Rattus norvegicus: one gene and its partners. The protein of the gene in region 2 purifies or fractionates together with the protein of the main gene of each other region. This does not show direct contact. Links are inferred from orthologs where the notes say so. Each region holds a gene or a part of one and is shown on either strand. Other genes may lie near its edges.

Region 1 (3,517 bases), on a different chromosome or scaffold from region 2:
CAGATAGCTTTGGCCTGCCATGTGGTTGCTGGCAAATGAACATGGGTCCTCTACAAGAGTAGCCAGTGCTTATAACTGGCTGAGACGTCTCTAACACACTTGTGTTGTGTGTGCATAGAGTTGTGTAGCTAAGGCTGGCCTTGATGTTCCTGGCAGGGGTGGTGGGGGCACCTCCCATGTGCTGGATGACAGATGTGTTTCACATCTGGCTCAGGGACTGCCAGCAGCTGGAGGAGTGTATTCAGGGCTGCGGATACACCTCAGCTAGAAGAGTGCTTGTCTAGCAAGCATGAGGACTTAGGTTTCATTCTGCTAAACTGTGTGTGGTCAGGCACACTTGGGATCCTAACACCCCGGAGGAAACAGGACAATTCTCACCTTAAAATCATTCTCTATGACAAAGGGAATTTGAGGTAAGCCTGGGTTAGTGACTGTCTTTGTTTAGTTTTGTTTGTTGTTTTTGTTTGTTCGTTTGTTTGAGTTAGGGTTTCTCTATGTAGTCTAGGCTGTCCTGGAACTTGCTTTGTAGACCAGGCTGGCCTCGAACCCACAGAGATTCCACTTTCTTCTCCATCCTGAGTACCAGAATTAAATGCGTGCCTTCGGTGAGTATTTTACTTAAACATAAACCAGATTTAGCTTTAATTAAAATGAGGCTGTCTACAGTATGTATGAGAGTCAGGTGGATCTCTGAGTTGGAAGCTAACCTGGGCTAAGTAGCAAGTAACAGCCAGTCAGGACAACACAGTGAAATCTTGTCTTAAAAACCACAACAGGGGCCAGGGAGACGGCTCAGTGCTTAAGGGTACTGACTGCTCTTTCAGAGGTCTCTGAGTTCAATTCCCAGCACCCACATGGTGGCTCACGACCATCTGTAATGGGATCTGGTGCCCTCTTCTGGAACGTCTGAAGAGAGTGACAGTGTACTCACATCAAAAATAAAACCTTTAAAAGAAAAAAAAAAAAAAACCAAAAAACAAAAAACCCCACAACAGCCTGCGGGTGGTGGCACACCCAGATCTTTAATCCCAGTGCATGGGTGACAGAGGCAGGAGGCTCTCTATGAGTTCAAAGCCAGAGAGGCCAGCCTGGTCTACAGAATGATCTCCAAGGCGGTCAAGGCCAGACAGAGAAACCCTGTCTTGAAAAACGAAAACAAAACAAAACAAGGAACAGTAACAACAAAATAACAGAAATCAAACTACAGGACGCGCCCCCACAGCTCTTCAGTGTCCCCCACAGAGGCCACTCGAGGCTCTGACACACTGGATTGAAAGGATGGACAAGAACTGCACGAAATGAACCATCTTCAGAGCTCTGGCACTTCAAGTTACCGACGACATAGCTTTAGTTAGCTGTGACTGTTACTGGTGGGGGAGGGAGGATGTGAGGGGGGGTGAGAACAGGACAAAAGAACGCGTGGCAGGCTGTTCTCTCTGGTTTTATTGCCCCCATAATATGAGTCCTGACAGGCCTCACCTACACTGCAGAGAACAAGTTCCTAGTCACAAGGCTCCCTAGGGTGCAGTGCAGGGAGGGACAGCCAAACTGTCAAGTCCGCTGCTCTCCTCTGTGGCTGGGGTGAGGGGCAGCGAGGACGAGAAGCAAGGGCAGCGAGGACAAGAAGCAAGGGCATCTACTGAGGCATTTCTTTCAATTATTTTCACCGTGATTTGCTTTTTTGAGACAGGGTCTCACTATGTAACCTTGGCTAGCCTCAAACTCGTGGAGATCCTGTAGCCTTTGCCTCCCCCACCTCCCATCCCACCCCTCAGGGCTGGGGTTAAAGGTGTGTAACACTGCTCTCGGCTTAATTGAGAGGATGATTTAAAAGCACTAAAGGCCGGCTGGAGGGATGGCTCAGTGGTTAAGAGCACCTGACTGCTCTTCCACAGGTCCTGAGTTCAAATCCCAGCAACCACATGGTATCTGTAATGAGACCTGGTGCCCTCTTCTGGTGTGTCTGAAGACTGCTACAGTGTGCTTTTTATATAATAAATAAACCTTAAAACAACAACAACAAAAAAACCATTAAAGCCAGGCAAGTGCCTGTCCTTGCAGCTTCTACAGCTGAGACGGGAGCAGAGGCTGAGACTCCATCCCTTAAGAAAAAAGGACTCGGGGCTGGAGAGATGGCTCAGCAGTTAAGAGCACCCGACTACTCTTCCAGAGGTCCTGAGTTCAATTCCCAGCAACCACATGGTGGCTCACAACCATCTGTAAAGAGATCCGATGCCCTCTTCTGGTGTATCTGAAGACAGCTACAGTGTACTTATATATAATAAATGATTAAATCTTTAAAAAAAAAAAAAGAAAAAAGAAAAAAAGGAGTCAAGAAAATGTCTCTCCGTGTGTAGAGGGGGTCAGTTAGGAATAGGTTGTGAAGGTCTAGATAAACAAGCCTCCGAGAAGAAGAGAAAGCGGCAGTGCCTACAAGGTTAGATGTGCCACATGTATCAGAAGAGAAAAGGAAGGAGAGTCAGGTCGCAGAGGCCTTTCTTGGCTGTGGGACCACATGGACTGACAGCCTGGTCAGGAGGGCACTGAGACCTGAAACTCAGCCTGGACAGTGTCTGATGTGCACTCTCCTCTTATTTAAAGGGGAAGGGCCACATGCAGCCAGTGCCAGGGGTCCAACCTGCACAGTTAGTGCCTGCCTGCCTCTGCGCCCCTCTCTCTCTCTCTTGCTCTCTCTCTCTCAAGACAGGGTTTCTCTGTGTCACCCTCGCTGACCCAAAACTCAGAGGCCCACCTGCCTCTCCCTCCCAAGCACTGGGATTAAAGCTGTGCACCACTGACACCCCAATTATCAGCACTTTTTAAGGGGTGTCTCAGAGGTGAGCACACATCCAGTGACACGTCTTCAGAAAGTTGTTACCAGCCCTCTCGTCACCCTAAGAGGCTCCCTGAGCATCCGCCTACATACCTTGGCCATCCGCTCCTTTTTGTCCCACCATTCGTCAAAGGCCCGGAAGGCCACCACCTCCACCATCTTGCGGTTGAGATCCCGCTTCATAATGGCCTTCAGTTCCTTGAGCACTACTAGCAGGACCCCATCCACTGTGGCCTTGTGCGGATCCTCCTGACGCGGTATGTAGCCTGGTGGTGGCACAGAGGGGTCAAACTTGGGCAGGGGCGGCCAGTGCTGTCCACGTCCTGGGCCACTGTTGCTCAGGGAGAACGGGCTCCGGTAGGGGGGCAAGTTGACAAACTGTAGCCCAGCAGAAGCGGCAGCGGCGGCAGCGGCCATGAAGGGTGGGTAGGGGCAAGTACCCTGGCCTGTCATGAGCCGGCTTAACATCTGTGTTTGCATCTGGAAGGACATGGGCATGCCGCCCCACTGCCCACCCAGCACATGGCTCATGTCCACCTGCATCACAGGAAACAGTCCTGGCGGGAAGGGCGGCAGTGGTGGAAGGATGGGTGGGGGTGGGACACCCGGGGGCGCTGGCAAGGGTGGCGGGGGGACTGTCACTGCAGGATGGGCTGGTGGTGGTGGTGGTGGTGGTGGCGGCGG
Region 2 (4,310 bases):
CTTCTCAGACTTCTTCTCTCGACGCTTCACATGCTTCACTTTTACTGCCCGCTTCCTCAGTGCAGGATCCAGGAACGGGGACTCTTCTGCGTCACTCATCCATGGCTGCAAGCAGGGCATGCGCTGACCCACCTGATGACTCGTTACCACACCTGCTGCTCATTTCCCAAGCAGCCTGTTCGCCCTCTGGCCCCCTCCCCATTCTACGACTTCACCTTTTCCCCTTCCTCCCCACCACAGGATGACCATGTTACTCACTACGTGATCATCAAAGGCCCCAGCACAGAAATCCTGGTACAGATCAGGGTCCAGTGCTAGGTCCTCATCTGAGAGTGGCTCAGGTGTTGCTGTAGCCTCTGGTGGCTCCTTAACCACTGATGACAACACTGTCCCCTCATCTTCACGGATACGCCCCAGCTTCTGGGATTGCTGTGGCTGCTGTTGAGTGGGTGGTGGCCGGCGGGGCCTTGGCAGGGCCTCTGAGGGTGTCACCGGCGAGAGCTGCGGGGCAGAATCTCAGGACTGGCCCTGACCGCCCTGCCCGCAGCCCTGCCCCGCCCTGGGGGGCTGGACTCACCGAGGAAGGGAAGTACTTGTACGATTCCTGTGCGCAGGAGGAAGGCCTAGGTCAGCCCCAGGAAAATAAAGGTCTTCCCTGTCCTAACCCCATTTACTTACCCTGGCCTTGCCTGGTCTAACAAATGCAGTTTTCCCCTCCCCTCACCACAGATATACTCCATCCTACCCCATGTGTCCTGGCATGCTTGACAACCTAAAGCTATCATCCCCCCCACCCTACCCCCAGCTTTCCCCTGAACTTGCTAGGCCCCTCCCACATGTCTGAACATAACCAAGCTCCACCCCACCTGTACTTTCTTATTTGTAGCTCAAGCAGCCCTACTTGAGCCTCCCAGCCATGCTCTCCTATCTGATCTTGCCCAGCTCTGCCCATGCTCACCCGTGCCCGCAGCTGACACTGGCGAAGCCGGCACTTCTGCCGGATCTTGTTGGGGCCCCCAAACTTCTTCATGTCACGACAGAAGTCACAGTGGCCACAGTCCTCAGTGCGTCGGCATGCCTCACACTCACCACACATCCGAGCTGACCGTTTGATTTGCTGCTGCTGCTGCTGCTGCTGCTGTTGCTGGTGATGCTAGGAGACAGTATCCAGGGTAGAGATGAGGATATAGATGAGGCCCAAAGCAGAACTTTCACCCACCCCGAGCACTGTGGCTACTCACCTGGCTAGGTGTGGCCACCAAGGGCTGTGGAGAAGATTTGTGGGGCGAAGCAGAGCCCCGAGCAAGCATGGCCCCAACCCCTGTCCCTGACCCTGCCCGGCGCTGCAGTTCTGGATCTGAAGCAGGCCTCTTGCGCCCTCCTCCCTCATCCCGGGGCTCACTGCCGTCCCGCTCACTGCCATCCCTCTCCCGGCACTTTTTGTGGCGGTAACGAATCTCCAGCTTCGGGTCCTTCTCTGTGAGGCAAAGAGTGGAGCCAAGGTGGGTTTGGAGGAGAGGTTTGAATGGTCCCAGAACCTCTTTCTCTTTTCCTGCCCCACCTACTTGTCCAGCTCACGCTATGGGAGAGCTGCCCCTTCCTTTGGGTTCTTCCACAATTGCTCACATTGGAGCTGGCCTTCCAATTCACCACAGACCAACGATCACTCTGGCCACACAGGACACCATTATCACCCAGGATCCCTCCCATTACAGCTCCTTCATCTCTTGGAGTCCACCTCCTTCACTGCCCATGCACAAGCCTCACCTCGGCACTCGCGACAGTACCATTCCCGGATGGCCTTGGCCATCTTCTCGGTGATGCGGATGCAGTCCCCATGAAACCACTCGTTGCAGTTGTCACATCCACTGCATAGAATAGAGCAAGTGGTGGAGATGTGAGGGGTGGGTCCGCTTCACCGGGTTCCCGCCCCTGCCAGGCATCAGCCCACCTGCTTCTCCCAAACTCACATCATGAAGCAATTGATGTCCGGTTTGCGACAGATGCAGTAGATGGGGGCGTTCTCCCCATTCTCAGACTTGCTGTCCTCCCCAGCATCTGGAGGTTCCAGGTCTGAGCCATCTCCTTCCTGTGAGACCCACCCCCATGATGGCTCCTTAATTCCCTCTTCACAGCTCCACCGTGGATAGCCACAAATTCCAACTGTGTCTTCGGACTTCCCGTTAGCCTTTCCGTTATAGTTCACCCAGACCCTCCTCACCTAGTCCTGGGCCTCATTACTTTGTGTTCTACTTCCCCATCACTCAGACCTCCCATCACACTGTCAAGCATCCTGTCACTCTGACTGCTCATCGCATACACTCAACCAAACTGTCCCATTCAAGAGTTCTACACGGAGAGCACTTAAATTTATTCTGCTGTCGTCCCATCCCGACTTCCCACAAGTGTCTATAACTTAGCTCGTGGACCCCACCCCCAATGCCGGTTCTCCAGAGCCTGTGCAAATACATTCATGGCCAAGTCCTTATCTCTCTGACGAAGGTACTTCGCGTGAAGGTTTCCCACAAAACTGCCATCTGGAGTCCCCACTGAACTTCCACTACGGACCCCCTACAACGGTTCATCAAAGAACTCACAGATGGTTCACCTCAAACCTCATCACACCCCTTCACTCACCGGCCCAGAGACTGGGCACACAGCTCGCCAGGAACCCCGTGCGCCTGCCAATAGGCAGCGGTTGCCAACCCCTCCGACCTCTGCCTCTGAACCCCGATCCGACCAGGTACTCACCATATCTCCGCTCACAGAGCACCCTCTCTGGACCCCGCGCAGCAACCCGCGAAGCTGAACAAGCCCCTCGGCCGCGGTAGCAAAGGCACCCGCAACTACTTCCGCCACTGGTCCCGCCTCCGCGGTCCCGCACTCTCACTCCCCACGCCTGGCGCGACCGCTTAGCGGCAAACAAATAGGTCGCCCATCTAGAGCCTCGAATGTCTCCTTGTCGCCGCCATCTTGACCATCCAGTCCGTAAGACAGCGGAGACCATACGTTCCGGGAAGTATGGCTGCGCCTACAGTTCGGGTCGTCCGAGCGCGCCGCCACCTTGTCAGTCAAGTCCGTACGGTGGCCGCCAGAGGGCAATATGGCCGCATTTGCTTCGACGTTGGGACGCAGATGTCGTCAGCTGATTAGCGTCATCAGGCGGGCTCCGTGCGTTCCTAGGCAACAAACAGTAGCTTCCGGATCACGGCTTCCGAAGGGCGTGGCCAACTTGATATTTGACTCCGTACAGTGTCTGCTGCTGCCACAGACTGGTTAATCCTGTTACTGCCTACATGTGTCTCATTCATTCCTGCATCCAATCATTTACCCTTCGATGCTTATCAATGGGAATGCCAGGCCTCCGGAGAGGGAAATAAATGTCGTGCCAGTACCTGGCCCAGTTCTTGCTCCACTTTTATCTGCCTCCCAAATCATGTTTTTTAGCTAGGCCTAGTTTTTTGTTTTGCTTTGTTTTTTTGTTTTGTTTTGGGTTTTTTTTTTGTTTGTTTTTGTTTTTTTGGGACAGAGTCTCTCTAGTCCTAGCTGTGCTTCAACTCACTGTGTACATCAGGCCGTCCTCAAACTCACAGAAATCCACCTGCCTCTCCCTCTCAGGTAGTGGGATTAAAGTCATGAGTGATCACTTCTGACTGAAAAAAAAGTCTTAACTTCTTGAGCATGGTGGCATATGCTGGTAATACCAGCACTGATGGGGCTGGGGTTAAAGGATGCAAATTAACAAGGCTTGCCTAGAGTTGAAGTCCAGCTTGCACAATTTTGAAACCCTATTGGGAGTTTAGGGGCATAGAGAAGGAGACCAATAAATAAATAAATAAATAAATAAATAAATAAATAAATAAATGAAATGAGTGTTAGAAAAGACATTCAGAGCCAGTATTATCACGATATTAATTACATAGCCCTGAAGTGAAAACAGTGCCAAGTACAGTAATTCCCAAGTAAAAGTACGAAGGGCCTTAGTTCGACTCCTAGTATTACAAAAACAAATAATGAAAAGAGTTCTTAGGGCCAGTGAAACAGCTTAGCCAGGAAAGACCCTTGTAGCCCAGCCTGGCAACCTGAGTTCTATTCCCAGAACTTAGACAGGAGGATGGGAGGTGAGGACTGACAACCACAAATGGTTTTTGACTTCCACACTTAAATCAACTGACACCGAAAATAAAAAACATCATTCAGGCCTCGGAACCAACAGGAACAAAGACCTAGTCTGCGTGACAAAACGGAATCAAAGACTAAGTCACTGGTTCCAGGATGGGTCTGGGAAAGTCCCTAAACATACTAACCTT
Region 3 (3,517 bases), on a different chromosome or scaffold from region 2:
ACCTGAGAACTGGCTCCCCTCTCTCTGAGTTCTATAAATCCACTTATCTTCAAGTTTATGACTAATTTACATAATTGTAATGATGGGCTGGACAGAGAGCTTAACCACTAAAAGCATCCACTACTCTTCTAGAAGACCTGGGTTCAGGTCCTAGCACCCACATGACAGCTCACAACCGTTTGTAACTCCAGTTCAAGAGTATTCAACACCATCTCCCGGTCTCCACAGGTTTCTGCACATACGTGATACACATAAATGCATGTAGACAAATACACATACACATAAAATAAAATTAGTGAGTTTAAGAAAGGAATTGGAATGGAATAATAAAATTGTAGACTATGGTTCACATTACATCATAGCTATTTTCAAGAGTTTCTCTGTAATTCTTCAATAACTAATAGAAGCAATGAAAATACAGTACTTAAAAAAAAAAAACCAACTTTCAGTGAAGAGGAAATCATGGCGTGATGTTAAAATAGGTGCTGGGAAGACTAGTGAACAGAGGCAACCTCTGTTAGAAGTGGTTACACTGGCCCAGACGTGATGCTTCTACAATTACTTCCAGGAGCCCATAAAGTCAACTCCCTGCAACAGGGGAGAATTGATGTCTATGTATATACACTTTCTAGGACACAATCTAAAGCGTCTGTCATATTTTCATAGATTAAAAATGTACTTTAAAATGCTATAGGTAGTAACACAATGAAAAACGGTAAAACAATAAACTGCAAGGCAAGGCCTTTATAAACACACAGTAACACCTACAGTCAACATGAGACTTTCTTTTCTTTTTTTTTCTGACAGATTGGTTTTTGTTTTTGTTTTTTTTTTTTTTTTTTAATTTTTATTCGTCTGTTGTAGTACAAATCATTCCCATGGGTGCAACAGTTCCTGCTTTTCTATTAAGAATATGGGATATCATTTCAGATGTAAACAAATGGAATGATTAATAATAATAATAATAATAATAATAATAATAATAATAATAATAATAAACGAATGTCAAGGTCAGCAAGATGGCCCATTAAATAAAGCTGCTTCCTGCCAAGACAGGTGGCCTGAGTTCTATCCCCAGATATTCAGAGGAAAATGCTTCCCCTAGAAGCCCTAGGTTGCCAAATAACTACCCAAGTGTCAGATGCTTCTTCTCAAGTTGTTGGTTGGGAAGGAGTCTCAGAGATTCCCAAAACAGTACTAGCTATTATCACTGATCTTGGTTGCAACCACAGGACATGGAGAAATCAAGCTAGTACTATTCTCAAAGCTTCTTCCCTGCTGGGTAAACTTCAAAGTACCAGAAGGTATTAAGCAGGCTCCTGGGGATGGAGGGAGTCATCAACAGTCCACAGAGCTGTGAACCCTGTGAGCTCCAACAACCACCAGCATGGTAAGACATGCTCATAGGTGCAACAGTGGCATGAACATTATGGGTGTCACTAATCATGTTCTGGTTGGATTTAAGGCCTGATCCACAAGAGACATGTGCCCGGTACTGTAAATTTGACTAATTTTCATATTAGTCATACTAATATTAAATACTTATGACATTTAAAATGCATGATTCGAGAGTTCATGGGACCCAGAGGTGGACATACTACTTTTATTTTGCTGAATAGATATAAAATCAAACTGCCCTATAAATTCCTCTCTCTAAAAAAGCTACACACCTTTAATTCCAGCACTGGAGAGGCCATGGCAGAAGGACCAGAGTGAGCTCAAGGCCAGAGTTCTAGGGTTATTTCTACACCTATAGATTAGTACAGTTCTCAGACCTCAACAGAGATGTCTCTTTGTGCAAAAAATGATGGTTAACACAGAAACTCACAATCCATCAAGAAGTGAAAAGGACTTTTTTTTTTTAAATGGGGAGATAGGGTCTCTGTCTATAGCCCTGGCTGTCCTTACTCTCTGTGTAGATCAGGATGGCCTCAAATTCACAGAGATCCCACTGCTCCTGCCTCCCCAGTATTGGGATTATATGCATTCCACACTATGCCCAGCTACTTTTTAAGACAGCCTATGCCCACTTTCAAAGCTGTTCTTCTGCAAACACACCATTAATGTGACACTCAGAATATAACAGGTAAAAATGCACCTTGAATCTTTTCTTCTTCTTTTGCTTAAAGCTACTTTCTTCTCTAAAACTTTCCGTTCTTTAAGGACTTCTTTAATTCTTGGGGCTTTAGGTTCCAAAGTCTTAGTTGACGAGTCTTCTAGGTCCACACTACTTTTGCCTAGAAAGTAAATAAAGAAGCTTTATTTCAGAAGACAGTTCTGTAACAGTGCTCTATTTACTTTTCATTACAGCTTTATAATCAGTATAAAACACAAAATAGCTTCGAAGGAGTCTCCGTTTCTGCTAGGAAAAACAGACGCCAATTTTGTTATATTTACTGTGCCAGATAAAAGTCAACATAAGGGCTGCAATACAGTCTGGGGCAGAGCTTGTGTTTAGCAAGTCTGTGGCCTTGATTTCAATCCCCAGCATCAGAGGAAATAACAAAAGTAAAAGGAAAAAGCAAAGATGATGTGAGCTGCATTATCATCATTGGAAATGCTCATCTGCTTCTATCTGAAATCCATTCCACCATTACTGCAGAATAAATTCTTCCACACTTAGGAACATATCACCTTTTTATGTGCATATGCCACAAGGAATATGAGACTAACTAGAAAATGATGGTGTGTATAAGATACTCTCAAATAACAGTAATATCTGCTATACCTTGGCTCTTCGCTTTGGAAGACTTTGTCTTTTCTGCTTTCTGTTTTCGTTTTTCTTCAAGTTTTTCTCTATTGATTCGTCTTCTTAAAAGTCTCTCTTCTTTTTCTTTAGCCTAAAACCACAATTGCCCGAATATTATCAGGTAAAAGCAAAGACACTCTGAAAGAATGTATGTGAGAAAATAGCTGAGAGTACATCCTTGAGGTATTGATCCGGCTCTGCAAATGAGGGAGGCCTTGGGTTGTAAACCCTAGTACTCAAAGTCGCCCCCACCAACAAAGTTTTAGTTTGTTCTTCTGATGTTTTTACAAATCAATAGAATATGCAAAAGTATGGTTCAGTGGTTAAGAGCACGTGCTGTTCTCACAGATGACCCAGGCTGACTAAGGTTGTTCCCAGCAACCACATGATAGCATACAATCATCACTAAGTCCACTTTTCAGGAAATTTAACACCTTCTAACCTCTGCAGGCATACACATACACACAGGCAAAACATACACACAAATCTTAAAAAAAAAAAGAAAAGAAAAAAAAAGGAAGCAGATATTAACTGTGTGTGCCTAGGTATGGGTATGACTACTCTGTTTTGGAAGCTACCAGCTGATAGAAGGCACAGATAGGAAAACTTAATTATTATATTAGAATGCTATTAATTTGAAGAAGAAAAGGCATTATCTGAAAAAAGGTGATGCTACAACCACAAAAGAGTACTGTTATTTGAGAGAAAAGTCATAGAAACATAAATATCAAGCATAAATGGGTAAGTCTTCAGAACTTCAAGTGACAG
Region 4 (3,517 bases), on a different chromosome or scaffold from region 2:
ATGTTAAGAAACATGTGGGCTAAAGTTATTAGGTGAAAACTTAATGCTGTAAAAATCAGACTTGGTATTTAGCAATACCAAATCCAAGATAGCTCTTAACAAAAGAACCATTTGCATTTATGAGGCCTTCCTCTGTGGAGGCCAACATTTGTGTTGGACTGTACATGAACAATGTCCCATATATGAAGGGATTTTATTATTGTTTGGTTTTATTTATGTATATGATTATTTATATTTATATTGTTTAGTCTCCATATATATGTGCACACCAGAAGAGGTCATTAATCACTGAGCCATCTCTACAGCTTCCCCCTACCCCCTTTTGAGACAGGGTCCTTGGCCGTCCTAGAACTTACAGTGTAGACCAGGTTGACTTACAGAGAGAGATCTGCCTGTCTCTGCCTCCTAAGTGCTGAGACTAAACACATGTATGATACAGATGATACAGAGCTGTGTGTGCGGTGCCCTGACAGGTATTGTGTCCTTTTGCTATCTACCTGTTCACCTTTGGGCTTCGGCAATAGAACAAAGAAATGATTCCACCGAAGTCTTCACTTTGTGAGTCACTAAGTGTAATTGTGGTCCTTACAGAAGCACGGGCAACTGAAATGGCATCTCCCTTGTCTCCCAAGTAATTGTTAATTCCTTATATGTCTGAAGGAGCAGGGTCCTGAGGGTTCCTCGATAGCAGCTCCCAACTGTTCTGACTTCGAGAGGGCCATGCCATGCCTAAAGGATGACAGGAGGGATAGCTGAGCGCTGCCTGTTAGAAGTGGCCCTTCTACTGCGTGGGGTGACACACACTTTTAATCCCAGGACCCAGGAGGCAGGGGCTCTGTGAATTGGAAGCCAATCTAGTGTGCATAACAAGCTCCAGGATGACCAGGGCTATGCAGCTGTCTCAAAAAGCAAGCAAACATCAAAAAGTGTACTTGAGCTGAGCCAGGTAGTATATTCCTGTGTCCTGGTGCTCTGGAGGATGAGGTAGAAAGATTGTTTAGAGAGAGAACTTTGGATACATAGTAAACTGAAGGTCACCCTGGGATACATATTAACACCCTGTCTCAAACTCCTTCCCCTTCAAAGTAATTCAGTAAAGAAATTGCACTTGTAAGCAGGTGGGGTATTTCTGCGTTGCAGAAGACAGGAAGTGTTGGTTACTGTGTAATGCCAAAGGATAGGCCACTGGTCATTTGCTTTCTTCTAGTGTTGGCACCTTGTGACCTGGCAGGTAAGTTTCCTACTGACCACAGGTTACATTCCCTGTGCTATCAGCCTTTTGTATCAACTGAGACCTTCTCTGAACTTTTAGAGCTAAATACTGTGACAAAACTGCATGTTTATAAGCATTCTGCTCCCTCTGTGTAAATGTAGCAGGATGGGCTACATGAAACCCTATCTCAAAACAAATAAAATAAGAAACACTTAGTGATCTATGTATGTAGATGTGTAGTAGGAAATCAGCACTACTATAATTCCAGAATGTTTTTATCACCCCTAAGAGAAACCCTGTACCCATTAGGGGCCATTCATCTAAGCGCTGTCTCTAGATTTCCATATAAATGGCATCAACATGTGGCCTTTTGTGTTTGGTCTCTTTCATGTACATGATGTTTTTGAAGTTCATCCTTGTAGTCATATGAATTAGCACTTGGTTTCTCTTTATTCTCAAATAATGTTGTGCCGTGTTTTTGTAGCCCACGTCTTGGTGGTTTGTCAGTCAGTGCACATTTGGGTTATTCCCGTTTATAATGCTACTGTAAAATGTGAACATTTTTGTGTAGACATTTTCACTTTGCTCAAGTCCTTAGACCTAGGTGTAGAGTTTCTTAAGTCACATGACCATCTTTCCAGAAAAAGTAAGGTTTGTTGTTCAGGTTGGTTGCTTCGACTTTTCTGTGGTGGGGTCAGGGGACTGGACTTGGAACTCACTATGTAGATGAGGCTGGCACTGAACTCAGATCCATCCACCTGCCTCTACCTCCCAAGCACCACCACACCCATCCTGAGAGGATTGTAGAGCATCTGTACAATTTATTTCCTCAGTGGTATATAAGGAGTTCTGACTCTCCCCTTCTCTTCCCCAGCACCGAGCCGCCTCTTATGACAGCCATTAGCGGGTGTGCATTAGTAGCTCACTGTGCTTTGACTCTTGGTAGAGTCACATACTTTGTTTTTAACACTACCTTGTTAAACCATCTTCCACTGAACCATCCTTTTTTTCTTTTCACAAATGCTCTGTGTTGATTTTTTTTTTTTTTCTCCATTGTATTAGCTGCTCTCGGTTGCTCTAGATAAGTCTGTGTATGCTTCCTAAGATGTTAGCCCTGGGAAGACAGGTATATATGTAGACAAGCAGAATGGTTTAGGGCTCACATCCAATTTTTGCTCATATTTTGCTTCAACTCCTATTTATCTTGATACATTGCAGGGTGGTGGCCTTGTCCATGTCACCTGTGGATGACACTTTCATTTCTGGGTCTCTTGATAAGACCATTCGACTCTGGGATCTCCGGTCTCCTAACTGCCAGGTAATGGTACCTCACAGTTACATTTTTGAGCATTTTCTGTGGAAAGCATTATCAGCTCTCCCTCTCCGTTAAGGGAGACAACAGTGGTTCCATTTTGGGATCCCAGAGTCTTGTTATGTGGCAGCAAAACCTTTTACTAGTTGGCTCTGCTGGATGAGCAGATAGCCCACTCCAGAGCAGACTGCATTGTAATGTGGCTTAGTGCTTGAAAATGTTGCCTAGAGCCTTTAGCCTCCAGGACTTTGTCTCTCTCTGACTCTGTAATGGTGTAGATAAGGTTGGTGGGATGCACCCATCCTGTGGTGACCTTTTACATTTTAGTCAGAGTTTTATTTGTTTACTTTTTAATCTTTTGTAGGTATCCTGGGTACAGTTCCTATTCCTTCCTTAGTTTTCAGTGGAAAAAGTCAATGATTGAGTAGTGGGCTCCTTCATTTATTAACTCTCTGTCCTCTTCTCTCTTAGGGCCTCATGCATCTACAGGGCAAACCCGTTTGTTCCTTTGATCCAGAAGGGTTAATTTTTGCTGCAGGTGTCAACTCAGAAATGGTCAAACTTTATGACCTTCGTTCTTTTGATAAGGTAAATCTTTGAATCCTAGAGCTATCTTGAGGTTACAGAAAGGGCAACTTGGACATTTAAGGACCCTTTGGGCCAGACATGGTGGTACACACCTTTAATCCCAGCACTCCAGGGCAGTTACAGGTGGATCTCCATGAGTTCCAGGCCAGCCAGTGCTACATACACATAGTGAGACCTGTCTAAAGAGACTGCCTTCCTGTGGTAGAGGAGGATGGCGGCTAACAGAGTCACAGTGATTCACCCTTTGCTGCCCACTCAGGAAGAATCTAGATGGTACGGTAGACAATAAGAGAAGGAGTTCTGAGAAGGGAAGTGTGGTGTCTGGAGTGTGGGAACTGCTATGTTTGTGTTTTGCAGGGTCCATTTGCTACCTTTAAGATGCAGTATGATCGGACTTGTGAGTG

The links. Proteins that work in one complex are often made in the same cells at the same time.
Region 1: the proteins of Cxxc1 (region 2) and Setd1b purify together in Homo sapiens (affinity purification with mass spectrometry; 11 studies listed by BioGRID and IntAct, counting the BioPlex papers as one, with this or other methods). This does not show direct contact. The link is inferred for Rattus norvegicus from reciprocal best matches to the Homo sapiens genes CXXC1 and SETD1B.
Region 3: the proteins of Cxxc1 (region 2) and Bod1l1 purify together in Homo sapiens (affinity purification with mass spectrometry; 5 studies listed by BioGRID and IntAct, counting the BioPlex papers as one, with this or other methods). This does not show direct contact. The link is inferred for Rattus norvegicus from reciprocal best matches to the Homo sapiens genes CXXC1 and BOD1L1.
Region 4: the proteins of Cxxc1 (region 2) and Wdr82 purify together in Homo sapiens (affinity purification with western blotting; 7 studies listed by BioGRID and IntAct, with this or other methods). This does not show direct contact. The link is inferred for Rattus norvegicus from reciprocal best matches to the Homo sapiens genes CXXC1 and WDR82.

The regions. Positions count from the first base shown.
Region 1 is NC_086030.1:39,068,898-39,072,414, forward strand, and holds part of Setd1b (histone-lysine N-methyltransferase SETD1B), read right to left. Parts: coding exon 2,927-3,517; intron 1-2,926. UniProt on the Homo sapiens protein: Histone methyltransferase that catalyzes methyl group transfer from S-adenosyl-L-methionine to the epsilon-amino group of 'Lys-4' of histone H3 (H3K4) via a non-processive mechanism.
Region 2 is NC_086036.1:70,087,223-70,091,532, reverse strand, and holds the start of Cxxc1 (CXXC-type zinc finger protein 1), read right to left. Parts: upstream 2,808-4,310; 5' UTR 2,755-2,807; coding exon 2,752-2,754; intron 2,090-2,751; coding exon 1,971-2,089; intron 1,869-1,970; coding exon 1,768-1,868; intron 1,478-1,767; coding exon 1,242-1,477; intron 1,154-1,241; coding exon 959-1,153; intron 605-958; coding exon 578-604; intron 502-577; coding exon 259-501; intron 106-258; coding exon 1-105. UniProt on the Homo sapiens protein: Transcriptional activator that exhibits a unique DNA binding specificity for CpG unmethylated motifs with a preference for CpGG.
Region 3 is NC_086032.1:73,337,865-73,341,381, reverse strand, and holds part of Bod1l1 (biorientation of chromosomes in cell division protein 1-like 1), read right to left. Parts: intron 2,841-3,517; coding exon 2,729-2,840; intron 2,238-2,728; coding exon 2,099-2,237; intron 1-2,098. UniProt on the Homo sapiens protein: Component of the fork protection machinery required to protect stalled/damaged replication forks from uncontrolled DNA2-dependent resection.
Region 4 is NC_086026.1:115,703,282-115,706,798, forward strand, and holds part of Wdr82 (WD repeat-containing protein 82), read left to right. Parts: intron 1-2,431; coding exon 2,432-2,531; intron 2,532-2,996; coding exon 2,997-3,113; intron 3,114-3,470; coding exon 3,471-3,517. UniProt on the Homo sapiens protein: Regulatory component of the SET1/COMPASS complex implicated in the tethering of this complex to transcriptional start sites of active genes.